3 linked regions of the Schizosaccharomyces pombe genome follow. The protein of the gene in region 1 purifies or fractionates together with the protein of each later gene. This does not show direct contact. Each region holds a gene or a part of one and is shown on either strand. Other genes may lie near its edges.

What was found. The genes of interacting proteins can lie anywhere in the genome.
Region 2: the proteins of pmh1 (region 1) and mcs2 purify together in Schizosaccharomyces pombe (affinity purification with mass spectrometry, with the first as the bait; one study listed by BioGRID). This does not show direct contact.
Region 3: the proteins of pmh1 (region 1) and tef101 purify together in Schizosaccharomyces pombe (affinity purification with mass spectrometry, with the first as the bait; one study listed by BioGRID). This does not show direct contact.

What each region holds. Positions count from the first base shown.
Region 1 is NC_003423.3:3,210,629-3,215,640, forward strand, and holds pmh1 (transcription factor TFIIK complex ubiquitin-protein ligase E3 subunit, Pmh1), read right to left. Parts: upstream 3,089-5,012; 5' UTR 2,923-3,088; coding exon 2,895-2,922; exon of another isoform or gene 2,843-2,894; coding exon 2,739-2,842; exon of another isoform or gene 2,678-2,738; coding exon 2,538-2,677; exon of another isoform or gene 2,527-2,537; intron 2,488-2,526; coding exon 2,414-2,487; intron 2,369-2,413; coding exon 1,900-2,368; exon of another isoform or gene 1,845-1,899; coding exon 1,703-1,844; 3' UTR 1,490-1,702; coding exon of another isoform or gene 1,122-1,489; 3' UTR 1,074-1,121; coding exon of another isoform or gene 725-1,073; 3' UTR 563-724; downstream 1-562. Other genes in the region: protein Mis20, read left to right, coding at 1-155; rRNA processing protein Rrp7, read left to right, coding at 725-1,073, 1,122-1,489; kinetochore protein Mis17 , read left to right, coding at 3,643-3,701, 3,742-4,801, 4,851-5,012. UniProt on the Schizosaccharomyces pombe protein: Acts as a component of the general transcription and DNA repair factor IIH (TFIIH or factor B), which is essential for both basal and activated transcription, and is involved in nucleotide excision repair (NER) of damaged DNA.
Region 2 is NC_003423.3:1,891,011-1,894,970, forward strand, and holds mcs2 (transcription factor TFIIH complex cyclin Mcs2), read left to right. Parts: upstream 1-1,969; 5' UTR 1,970-2,145; coding exon 2,146-2,418; exon of another isoform or gene 2,419-2,504; coding exon 2,505-2,578; exon of another isoform or gene 2,579-2,630; coding exon 2,631-3,252; 3' UTR 3,253-3,398; downstream 3,399-3,960. Other genes in the region: GDP/GTP exchange factor Spo14, read right to left, coding at 1-213, 260-385, 533-646; SAGA complex, phosphatidylinositol pseudokinase subunit Tra1, read right to left, coding at 3,423-3,960. UniProt on the Schizosaccharomyces pombe protein: Essential for progression through the cell cycle. Possesses kinase activity that can be detected when myelin basic protein (MBP) is provided as an exogenous substrate.
Region 3 is NC_003421.2:267,393-271,516, forward strand, and holds tef101 (translation elongation factor EF-1 alpha Ef1a-a), read right to left. Parts: upstream 2,125-4,124; 5' UTR 2,088-2,124; coding exon 705-2,087; 3' UTR 563-704; downstream 1-562. Other genes in the region: protein efr3, read left to right, coding at 1-489; ugp1 (UTP-glucose-1-phosphate uridylyltransferase), read left to right, coding at 3,574-4,124. UniProt on the Schizosaccharomyces pombe protein: This protein promotes the GTP-dependent binding of aminoacyl-tRNA to the A-site of ribosomes during protein biosynthesis.

The sequences.
Region 1 (5,012 bases):
CAGACTCATCCTCACCGTTGAGAAAACTTAGCCCTATAGAGCTTCCTGTGACTCCAATAAGACGCAAAACCCCTACAATTAACCCAAACTCAGAACTTAAAAGACTTCAAACTTTTGGAAAACTGATTTTGCATAAGGGAAGTCGTAGAAGGTAGTGAGTCCAATCGAACAAGAAGTATACAATAACGTTTCTTTGTTATTACGAAAAATTTTGAATGACCATTTTATAATGCAAAAAGTTACCTTAAGCGTGTGCAGTAATTTATTCAAATATCAATAATCCTTTTAAATGACTATACCGAGCACTATACTTTGTATGAGTAGGCTATAAGGATCTTTTTTAAAAACGTTTATCTTGGTTAGGAACACTAAATGCAATTAGCAACCACGCATATCAATATAGCTGTATTTTTTTATTAATTTACAATCCAACACCTCTAGCTCCCAATTCAATTATTACATTGCTTTTTGGAGCTTTTATTTAGCAGCAAATAAATTACAAGTTGTATAATTACATTTTTTTTTTAATCCTAGAAAATAAGCAAATCTTAGTTTAATTTTCGCTTATTCTAACATTCTTAATGTATATTGTATATAATAATAATTATAGTCACAACGAGATGAAGTATGCGAAGGTATAAGAGTATACAGCTCCTATGGTCTTGCCCTCGGTCAAGCTCAGTAACAAATTGCATTTTACCCAAGAACCAAACAACTCATATAAATGGACAAGCTCAAAGAAAAAGGGTTTGTTAAACTAGAAATTTATTTGGAAAATAAAAAGAGGTTGCATAGTATATTTTTGAAAGAAGACACGGAAGATGTTGAAAAGAAGTCACTGTATTTGATTAATGTTCCTATCACAACTACTGAAAAGATTTTGAAAAGAGCAATTTCTCAATTGGGCGGTCGTATCGTTAATATCTATCCTAATATTAGTGGCCTTTTGAAAAGTGGCACCCATTTACGCGTCAAATTAGTCGAGCCCGCTGAAGTTAAACAAGTTATCAAGGCAGCTTCTAAAAAGACGACCTCGCTTCCTTGGAAGTTCACACAGCATACTGGTTTGAAACGTAAGAACATGGTCATTATTTTTTTGGAAATACTAATGTGTTTAATAGGTTATGTAGAAAGTTATGATAGACAGTTTGTCAATCCACGTGTTCTAGCCGAAAGTGTTGATTCATACATGAAACGTGTTACTAAAAAGGAAATAGCAGAAAAGAGGAGACTATTCGCTATGAAAAATCAACCTGATGAAGATGGATTCGTAACGGTCGTTCGCAGCGGCCGGGCACCTGTCGGGCGACCTCAGGATGCTGAGCGTCAATTGGAAAAGAAAAAAGACACTGGGATCCACAAAGATTTTTACCGTTTCCAGCTTCGGGAAAAGAAAAAGAAGGCTCTTTTGGATTTAGCTCATAAGTTTGAGTTCGATAAACAGCGTATCCAACAATTAAAAGAAAAGCGGCAATTCAAACCGTATTAATATTATAGGTTTTAATCTTTTTGGGAGCATCACAAGGATTTGTTTTAGTTTGTATATTTTAGGGATAATGGTAATATACAAAGGCTATGATTTACTAATACAAAGAATAAAGTATACTTACCACAAACGTATATAAATATATTAGTATGAAAATGGAATAGTCGTTTACTTAAAAATGAAATGTAACTGCATGGTGAGAGCATTAAAGCAAGACTAACTTGCTACTTCAAGTTTTTTGAGACTTTCTAAATCGTAATCAATGCCACTAAAAGCCTCATATAAGCATCGCAAATGACAATCTTCTATACGGAAACCGCATTTGCGGCCTGGTTCATGCGAAACTTTTTCCAAATATCTAATCGAGTTGTTAGTATGATATTTATGGGTGATGCTACAAAATTGACACTTACAAATCTTGATAGGTGTTTTTGGAGTATGAAAAATACTTGCTCCCATCTTTTTCTCCAGCAAGAGGACTAAAAGGCGTAGTATCCTCTGCTACTTGCTGAACATCAGATAGAAGAATTGAAGATGAACGTGAAATGTTTGAAACCGAAGAGGCAATGTTTTCTTGTTGCTTTTTAAGGGAATCAGATAGTTGGATAATTTTGTTAGGATCTTTTCCTGATGTAGCTAAATCAAAAATAATTTGTTGCTCAACCTGTTCACGTCTTTCCTTTTCTTTTTGATGCTCACGTATAGCCGCTTCTCTTGCTTCTTGCTTTTGGCGTTTGAGAAGAATCTCGTTTTGAGCCAAAATGCGTGCTTCTGCGGCGGCTCTTGCAGAATTTGCTGCTATAGAATCTCGATTTTGTTTTTCATATTGTTTAACTTTTTCCTCAGTTTCTTCAACGTCGATTTTATAAATCAAATTAAATGCTAAAAAAAATTGTTAATAAAATTCTGACGCTGTCAATAACATACTTAAAATTTCAACTTCTTCCAAGTAGTCATTGTAAGCCTGCAAGCTGTCAAATTCTTGCTGTCCTTTGTTAAAGCTAAAAACGCACGTTAGAGTAAATTAAAAAAAAAGCTACAGTGTTCGTACATTCGAGATATCCGCTTCCGAACATCGACTTCGCGCTCAATTTGAGCATCTTCAAATGTTTGCTCTCGAAATTTGGCTTTTCTGAGAATTTTGTTGCACCCAGGAGTAGGGCATTGAGCAGGTCCAGTTGTAAATATTCTCTATGAATTAGCAAATCATGCTTCATTTCTTATTTGTATTAACAAATGCAATCAAACATACGTCTACACAAGACTCACACATCTTGTGATAGCACTCAGGGTTTATAAGTAATTTCATATTTGGATTTAAATATCTGTCCGCCTGGCACAACGGACATTTTTCATCTATATGTCTCGGTCAGCTTTAAAATAAATCAGGTAATTAATTAATGCTTACCAACTTTCCTAGCACCTTCATCGTCCATCTTTCTTTTATAGTTTACTTTTATTAATTCGTATTATGCAGTGAACGGGAATGACAAACGATAAATTCAAAGTTTCAATCGAATTTATGTTGAATAGTAAACGTTACTTTTCGGATTGTATAAAGAAATAATATTTGGACAAAAAAAGCGCGCAATACGTGGTGTTAAACTTTTAGAAGTAGTCGCCTTCAATATTACAAACACGACGACCATCAACTCATTCCCTAGCTACCAGCTATCTAAAGTCTTTTGAGTCCAAAAATACGAAAATTTAGATTAATGTAATAATAATTATTGAACCAACATAAATATTAACTAAATTTGGTTCCGTTTGTCGTATAACTTGGTAATTTCTATGTATACGGGCATGCAATCAGAAAACTTAATGGACATTTACTAAATTTGATCAGTTTGTTAAAAAATAAAATTATCTATTTTATTCTCACATAGGAGTTTGGAAAATTTTCAATAGTTACGAACTTGAATTTGAATGTTTTATATATATGTCGAACATTTAACTATTAAACTACATAGGTGTAATTTGTTTGCTTTATGAATACGTAGTTTAAAATATATGGTGTTAAAATTATTATTTGGGCTGTACAAAGAATAGCTAAAATCAATTCATGACTAGAAAGAAAGGCTGGATGAATTCGTCAACTACCAAAACCCCATGTTTGACTATACGCGTAGAAAAGCAAAAATTTTGCATGAAATATTATGGAAAATAACTCCCATAACGTAGATGAGCGACGAGCAGCACGAATGCGTGGAGCTGAGTATGTTATTTCAAAACTTTGTAAAAATTAACCAATGTAGACGCTACAAAATTCAAAATGTTGAGTTTTCATTAGATCAAAACCTTCTGGCCAATTTAGAGTCATCTACTTCTAGTTCAACTCGTTCTTCGCCTGCTTCAAACCAACAAAACCTTGAAATTGTATCTCAATCAGAGGCATATCATAAAATTAGCGATTTGGATGACAGTACATCTATTTTTTCTATTTCCGATCAAGAAAATATACTTGAAAGAAGGATTTCTGAAGAAGTAGTTCGGGAAAATTCCGTTTCCAGCATCGAAAATGTATCTTCATCGGCTGTCGCACGTGAGACGCAGAGTAGCGCAAATATTTTAGTCAAAGACAATCATTTTTTTTCTCATAAGCAGAAAAAAATACAAAGGGAATCCATTCCGTTTCACAAACGTGATAATATAGAAACCTCTGATGCATATAGTTCTTCAATCCTAGAAAATTCACCACCTAACAAAGTACAAAGGCTGTCATCTCTCGACTCATCTCAAGATTCGTTCCAAGAGGAACATCCAGGCAATGTGACAGGAACAACATTTAGTTCTCAGGCCCCTGAAGAGCGAATTGCTTCTCCTATCTCCACTTCTTCTCCGGAATCTTTGACGAATCAAAGTAGTAGTCTGCAAAGTTCCTTACAGACATCATCAATGGCTCCTAGAAATCTTTTGGATCAATCAACAGAAAAGGATATTGTAGTGGGAGCCTCAGATGAGCTCGTGCGTATCGAGTTAACCAAACTTTCTAAAGAAGCAGGAGGGTCAAAGACTCTTAATGAGCTTGATGCCGTACAGCAATTTTTTCAAGAATTTATAAAAGAGAATGAGCCACTAGAACCCTATGTAGTCAAGGTAAAAAATGCGTTTGTGGAACAAGTTTCTATTCGTTTACTAGAGTTAATAGACTTGCTGGACGCTAATCGAATTTTATCAACAGCTTGTAAAAAAGCAGCAAATGAGAAACTAGCTGTTCAACGGGATCTCTCGAAATTGAGGGAAGATCGACTATCAGTGCAACGTAAAAAAATACAGTTACGAAATGAGTACATTAAATTGTCCCATCAACAAAACGTACGCATAACATTGGCTCTTTAATTTACGCTTAACTAACTTAATATAGTTTTTGGATGATATTGACGATTTCTTCTCACAATGCGAAACAGTGAAAAACGAATTAGAAAATGTAACCACAACTCCAAACTCTACCGAAGCTTTTTCAGAAATAAATGAATATGCGTCTGCTTTATCAAAAAATTATGGACTCGAATCGCAGCTAGTTGAA
Region 2 (3,960 bases), 1.3 Mb from region 1:
GGAGATGATAAAAAAACTTTTATTAGTGCAAGATATACAAATTGCATCGTGTAATGGCTCAAATAAACATAACCTTTGATATTGTTCATCATTGTCAAAATCGGTTAACCTGAGAGCGTTCTTTTCCTCAAATAGTTTATCCTTTCTTCCATATAAACGTAAATGGTCAATTAACTTTCCGTCAATGGTGTTATTAATACCGGCTATTAATTCCTACAATTTAATTTCGTTAGCTATGCAATAAAAAAATATTGCATACATTTTTAAAATAACCCAACGACATAACGGCATCATCCGAATGCTTAAGTTCGATTTCTCCATGTTCTATAAATTTTGTATGACCTTCACCAACTTCAGGTTCATAGTCTTCATATGATAATAACTTCTAAATTCGACAAACTAATTAGCGCCTATAGTCCAATTGTAAAACATAATCTTTTTAGCTAACAATCCGGATACTAAAAAGTTTATAATGCTGTAAAATAGATAGATAATGAAGTAATCCTTCACTTACAGTCACGAATTGACATACCAATTTGTTTTTAACACCAGATTTTGTAGTTCCTCCTCCACCACCAACCGCCATTTGATGGTTATTAATCCAACAAAGAGAATAAGCTGGAAAAGAAAGGTGGAGTTCAGCCATTTTGATCTAATAATTAGAAAACACTTTAAGCTGGATACGAGGAATAGGAATGTATTGAAAAAATAAATCGATATCGGCGACGAATCAAAAAAAAATTCTACTTATTAGTGAGCAAATCAATAAAGTACACTTACAAGAATTCCACTAAAAAAAAACAATGTCTATTTGAATACGGTGGTGTGGGTATGTTTCGAAATCGCTGTGAACCTACTTCGAGACTTAAGCAAATACTGTAAGAATATTAGATCCCCGTATCAGAATCTATCGAATAATATCGACATCACTATCCTCTTTTACGTATTTAGGCGATGTTTAATATATACATAAGTTTTTATCCATTTTTTTATGACAGTAGAGAAAAGATTTAATTAGAGATAACCTAAATCCTTATTGACTTAAAAAAGGATGATACTTACTTGTGGATATTTATTTGCGAAGAATCTTTGAACAAACAGAAACTTATAATAGATTCTTTCTAAATCTCGGAGCATATTCTGGCTCATTTTATATTTATATTTTCCTTTTCAGCTTTTTAGAACTCAATTCCGACCTCAGTTTGGTTGCAACTTTGCTACAGACACTATTTAATATCTCGGTCTCCTGTACATTTTACCAGGTTTACGTTGTATTGTTTATATAGTTTATATAGCAATATTTACTACATGTTCATCATATTACGAAAATAGATTAAGAGAACTGGGGAAAGAGTGAGGAGATGAGAAATTTTCGGATTTATTTATAATTTCCAATTATTATTTTTAAGACGAAATTGCCGCGAGACTACATTGTCCATGAAATTAATGTTTGTGTTTATTCTACTAAAGGGTATGAATGCTCGATCTCGTGCCAAGGTGCCTACAATCTTAATACGCCGCTGCCTGTGTATGATTATAATATTACTTCTGTTTTTTGCACAGAAAGCGTGTTTCATTTCAAAGATTGACTTCCAATTAAATTTAATTAATAATATGTTGTTTCATTTCCTTATTTAACTACCAATTCTTGTTCATTTGCAATTCACTCAAATATGTAACTGAACGTTGTCAGGTAATTTTTTGGCTTTAAATGATATGCCTCAATGGAATATAAAAAAGCATAATCCTATATAACTATTGTTTTTTTCAGCTTCGTTTCAGTGAAATGTTATGCTGATACAAATTGATTGAAACATGAATGCAAGACTTTTTTCAACTCAACAATATTTTATTTATTAGTAAATTTTAGTTTATGTAATAAACTCTTCATTAAATTAATATAACTTTATAGTGCTGCTTTCTTTTTGCACATCGCACATTAATTGCAAAAACTCTCTTCTCCACATCCAGGGTATCTGATGTCCTCGACAAAGTCTCAGCGAACGAGCGATTTGGGTTTTTCATAGCAGAGAAGTATCCAAATTTCAAAAATATTATTATTTTACTGGCTTTATAGAGAAGTATTTAAATTTTTGCATAACCCTCAATTGATAGAGTGCTGTAAATTCTACTTACATTATTCACATGTCTGCCGATAAATTTCGTGATTCCACGCATTACAGAGATTGGATTTTTACGGAAGAAGACCTTTCAAAAACACGTGCTAAAGTAAATGAAAAATTTACGAATATTGTACGTGAGCGAATGCTGGAAGAGTTGTCTTTACAAAACAAGGAAGCATCCTTAGAAGTTTTGCCTCCAACTCTTACCGTTGAAGAAGAACTTGAACTTGTAAATTATTATAGTTTCCAGTTGAACGCACTTTCTTCCGCTCTTTCCTTACCAACTCATATTCGCGTATGTTTAGACATGGTCGGATTTCCTTCAATTACTTGGAAACTGTACTCAATATAAACATTCCGACTTTACTCACAAAATTTTAGTCCACGGCCATTCTTTTTTTTAAACGCTTTTATCTAATTAACTCTGTCATGGAGTATAGTCCAAAAATTATTTCGTATGTTTAAGTCGCCGAGTCCATTAAGCTAACATTGTTTTTCTTACATTAGGTTTACTTCTTTATTTTTAGCTACCAAGTGCAACGATCATTATATCTCTATTGAACAATTCTGTAAAAACATGCCCAAGACGACTCCCGAAGAAGTTCTTGAATACGAATTTAACGTTTGTCAATCATTAAAATGGGACCTTTACGTCTGGCTTCCATTTCGTCCTTTACAAGGCTTCCTTTTAGATTGTCAAACAGTGCTTCCGAAAGTTGCTGTCGAAAAGTTTTACGAATGTCATGACCTTTCCAAAAAATTCCTAATTGAGACATTGCATTCTGACATCTATTTCTTACATTCACCCAGCATAATTGCTTTGGGTGCTATTTATCATACGAATCCAACTATTTGTTTACAATATATAGAAGCAAAAAAAATTCCAGAACTGCAACCTTTGATAATTTCGATTTCTGCCAATTTGAAAGCTACAAAAAAATTTAAGATTGAGAAAAAAAAGGCACAAGATTACGGCAGAAAGCTATATTTCTGCATGAATCCTCTGCGAAACAAGTCTAGTGCTTTGTACCTTAAACGAAAAGCGGAAGAAGAATCAACTAATAACAACAAATGGGCTAAAAAGTTCTCAACCAGCAGTAATGTGTTGGATAAAAATCCGTTTGAATGATTCTTTCTTTGAAAAGTGCTAAATTTACTTCAATAGTCATTATTCGTCAATTTTTTTTACGACAAAATAGTTTACGTTTATAAAAAATTCCCAGTAAAATTCACTATCAAGTGTGTCTCATTAATTATTTTTAATGTCTATTTGTAAAATTAAAAACATTTTCATTTCTCTCACAGCCAAGGAGCCCATAAGACGTCCATCTGTGCCAAAACTTTGGAACTAGAGGCTTGCGCCAAATAATCAATAGCTGTTTGATTGACTGGTAAGTTACCATAAGCAACCTGACTTAATGATGCAACCCTTCGCATTATAAGATCAGTATTGCTATTGACTTTGTTGAGCATACTGAAATCTGCCGGCACGCCTTTAGTTTGCTGTGCAAGCCACCAAAAAAGATCATCTCTAATAAAGATACCCAAGTACATATCCAAATCGAAATCCGGTTTGGAGAGCGCGCGAGCTATAGCCATTATTGAAGGGCCCAGTAAACCTTCAGTACAAGTTTTTCCAATAAATTCTTTAATGTTGGGGGTAAAGCGAAAAGGAACAATTTCTCCATTATGGTAAACTGGAGTAGAAGAAACCATAGATGGCAGCGCTTCTGTTGTCCAAACACCGCCAGAGTCTCTAGAAAAAACAAGCTTAGCAGGTATCCTATTATTTATACTTAGTATGTATGTAATAAATGAAAAACAAGCATATTGGTAT
Region 3 (4,124 bases), on another chromosome or scaffold:
AAACTAACAAATGCCTCTACCGAGGAAGTCATGTTGCCTTTGGACATGGTTGTAAATGAATTATTGGAGAAAAGCCCGAAAGTATTCCCAGAGGACTCTAGACTACTATTTGCTGAGCAATCGCGACACCCCAAGTACACCGATATTATTCAAAAATTAAAGAAACCGTCTCGCGAAAAGTCTTTTACTTCTTCTTCAGAATATTCACTTCCATTTATATCACCGGCTTCGGATTACCAACAAAATCCTTTACTTCATGCTACCAAGTCGCTCGTTTCTATTCACCAGCAATCACAACGTGGAGAAATGGTTAGCACATTGAAACAGGCTCTATCAAGGCCACACACTGCTAGTACTGTCGTACGTTCTCCGTCGGAAATAAATCTTACAAGACAAACGAGCAACCGTGTACCTCTGCTTGATATGTTGAATCTTAATCGTGCTATGTCTCCGACACCTATTCAAAGTCCTCCATATGTACGCACTTAGTTCTACATATACATATTTTGCACTTAAAAAATGAAAAAAAGAATTATCGTTGCAAATCTATATTTAACCATGCAATTTAAATTTCAATTCCTAAGTTATAAGTAAATTTAATTACTGAGTAGTATACCAAATTATATTAATCAACAATATAACATTCACTAGCCTATCCTGATTACAACAACTCAAGATCTACTTAAATCCGAAGTAAAAAATGTTTACTTCTTGGCGCCAGCCTTAACAGCGGCCTTAGTGACCTTAGCGGCACCAGGGGCAACCTTCTCAACGGCCTTGATGACACCGACAGCGACGGTTTGACGCATGTCACGGACAGCGAAACGACCAAGAGGAGCGTAGTCAGTGAAAGCTTCAACACACATAGGCTTGGAAGGAACCATCTTAGCAATGCAAGCATCACCAGACTTGACAAACTTGGGGGACTCCTCAATCTTCTTACCGGAACGACGGTCAATCTTCTCAATGAGCTCAGCGAACTTGCAAGCAATGTGAGCAGTGTGGCAATCCAAAACAGGAGAGTAACCAGCAGAGATTTGACCGGGGTGGTTAAGAATGATGACTTGAGCGGTGAAGCTAGCACAACCCATGGGAGGATCGTTCTTGGAGTCACCACAGACGTTACCACGGCGAATATCCTTGACGGAAACGTTCTTAACGTTGAAACCAACGTTGTCACCGGGAAGACCAGCGTCGAGAGACTCGTGGTGCATCTCAACAGACTTGACTTCGGTAGTGACACCAGCGGGAGCGAAGGTGACAATCATACCGGGCTTGATAACACCAGTCTCAACACGACCGACGGGAACTGTACCAATACCACCGATCTTGTAAACATCTTGAAGGGGGAGACGAAGAGGCTTGTCAGTGGGACGTGCAGGGGGCTCAATGGAGTCAATAGCCTCCAAAAGAGTCTTACCCTTGACGACACCAGCCTTGGTCTCCTTTTGCCAGCCTTGGTACCAGGGCATGTTGGTGGTGGGCTCAATCATGTTATCACCTTGGAAACCGGAGACAGGGACGAAAGGAACGGTCTTGGGGTTGAAACCGACCTTCTTGATGAAGTTGGAGGTCTCCTTAACGATTTCCTCGAAACGAGCTTGGGACCAGCCAGTGGTGTCCATCTTGTTGACGGCAACAATAAGTTGCTTGACACCCAAGGTGTAAGCAAGCAAAGCGTGCTCACGGGTTTGACCATCCTTGGAGATACCAGCCTCGAACTCACCAGTACCACCACCAATAATAAGGACAGCACAGTCAGCTTGAGAAGTACCGGTAATCATGTTCTTGATGAAATCACGGTGACCGGGGGCATCAATGACAGTAACATTGTACTTGGGAGTCTCGAACTTCCAAAGGGCAATGTCGATAGTGATACCACGTTCACGCTCGGCCTTGAGCTTGTCCAAAACCCAGGCGTACTTGAAGGAACCCTTACCCAACTCGGTGGCTTCCTTCTCGAATTTTTCAATGGTACGCTTGTCAATACCACCGCACTTGTAAATCAGGTGACCAGTGGTGGTAGACTTACCAGAATCGACGTGACCGATAACAACGACGTTAATATGTCCCTTTTCCTTGCCCATTTTTTACAATTAAATTTTTTGGCGTGTGGTGAATGACAAAGGCGAAGCATCCTTCTAGTACTACTAAGTGATTTGTGACTGCTCTCCACAAGAAAATATGTGACTACTTTTAGATGAAATCTGGTTACCGAGCTGCAGAAGACTACGGCAAATAGCTGTTAAAGTAGTTTATTGGTATGAATCTTATAGTTTATGTGGAAAAGGTGAGAAAAGCCTATGTATATTTAAAAGGACGTAAAGTCATATGTAAATAATTATTGAAGACTCTAAGGAGTTTATTCCATCATAAGCAAAGCGAGTTATAAAAAACTAAATACTATCCTATAACAACTGCATAGCAGTGTGACAAAATGTGATTAGCAATCGTTAAGCTAATATAAGAAAGTCTGCATTTTAATAATGAACTACGTCGGCCTGTGTTAAATAAATATAGCGCAATAGAACGTAGATTCATTTTTATTAACTATAAACAATAGACCTAAAAGAATGTTGAACAATAGGTAATTACAAGTGAAACACATAGAAAGGGCTTACTCGAAACAATTAATGAAGTAATAAATGACCACAATAATTCAAATCCTCTGTTAGTGTTTTTTAGAAATAGCTGATTTTCTTTATAACTCTATGTGATAGACATTTCACTATACTTGAATTGATTACCTAGCTAGTCATTGAACTAGCTATACTGAAATTTAGGCGAACAAACAGCTTTTTATCAAATTTTCAATTGCGAACGTTTTAATCTGATAATAAAAATGCATGTCAAAAAGTTGTGCAGTATGAGGAATTTTTTTGACTCTGATGGTTGTCGATAATTCCAGCAGAATCATTTAAGCAAAGTCTACTTCTTATAACAATAGAAGTATTGATATGCAAACATAGCATTGTAATCATAAGCTCTATATCTTCTAGTAACTTAAACGTTGCGAGTAATTTCTTAAGTACCATAGTTTGGACTTGTTTATTTCAGCCCAAGCAAACGATTTTCTGTTTATCTGCTTTGTTTTGAATTTAAGTTGAATAAGTTGCATCTTTACCAATCTACTTAATAAAACAAAAGACGTAAAACATAGATATAAAGTGTCTCAGTTTGTTATTTAAGGTATATTGCCCTTATTTCGAAACCATACAGAATGATTTGTCACTGTATGCAAATTAATACAGAGAAGTTTTATTAAATTCACTTATAGAATAAAAAACAAATTGTATCTAATAGTTTTGAGTCTTTTTGTCGAGAACTGACTGTAATAAGACTTAGTGATAGATATACACAATAAAAGAAACTTGGACATTTTTGACACAAAATAACTTGTCGTAATTATCTTTCTAATCCATAGCAGAAAAGAATCCGCCAGTATCTGAACAAGGAGGATATCAAGTGAAAAAGATCACGTTGGAACATCGGAGTGTATATCGTTAAAACTAGTGGTTCATTTCATCCTACCACTCTCACCCCAAAAAGTGGGAGAATCGACAAAACTCCAAAATGTTGCATCGTCGAATTCATTTTAAATCACAGTCCACTTTGGACTTTGACAGTGTTGCAGTTAGCATATCTGCCAGTACGATGAAAAACGAATTAGATAAACTTGTACTGAATTCCAGAGTTTCGGATAAAAAAACGTTTGGCATACAAATGGACAACTTCTTTGCTTTGTATAGAAGATATTTATTACACACAGTTAAAGGTTATGAATGTGATTGGGATTCTATCCGGCCTCTGGGACCCGAAGACATGATAGATTACGGTGATTTACCGTTATGCAAAAATGCTGGAAAGTACTTAAATCGGCTTGCAGTTGTTAAATTAAATGGAGGTATGGGAAATGCGTTGGGTGTGAATTATCCTAAAGCCATGATTGAGGTTCGTGACAATCAAAGTTTCCTCGACCTTAGCATTCGCCAAATCGAATATCTTAACAGACGGTACGATGTGTCCGTGCCTTTCATTTTAATGAACTCTTACGATACAAATGATGAAACCTGTAAAGTTCTTCGAAAATATGCAGGCTGCAAGATTGATATTTCTACTTTCGA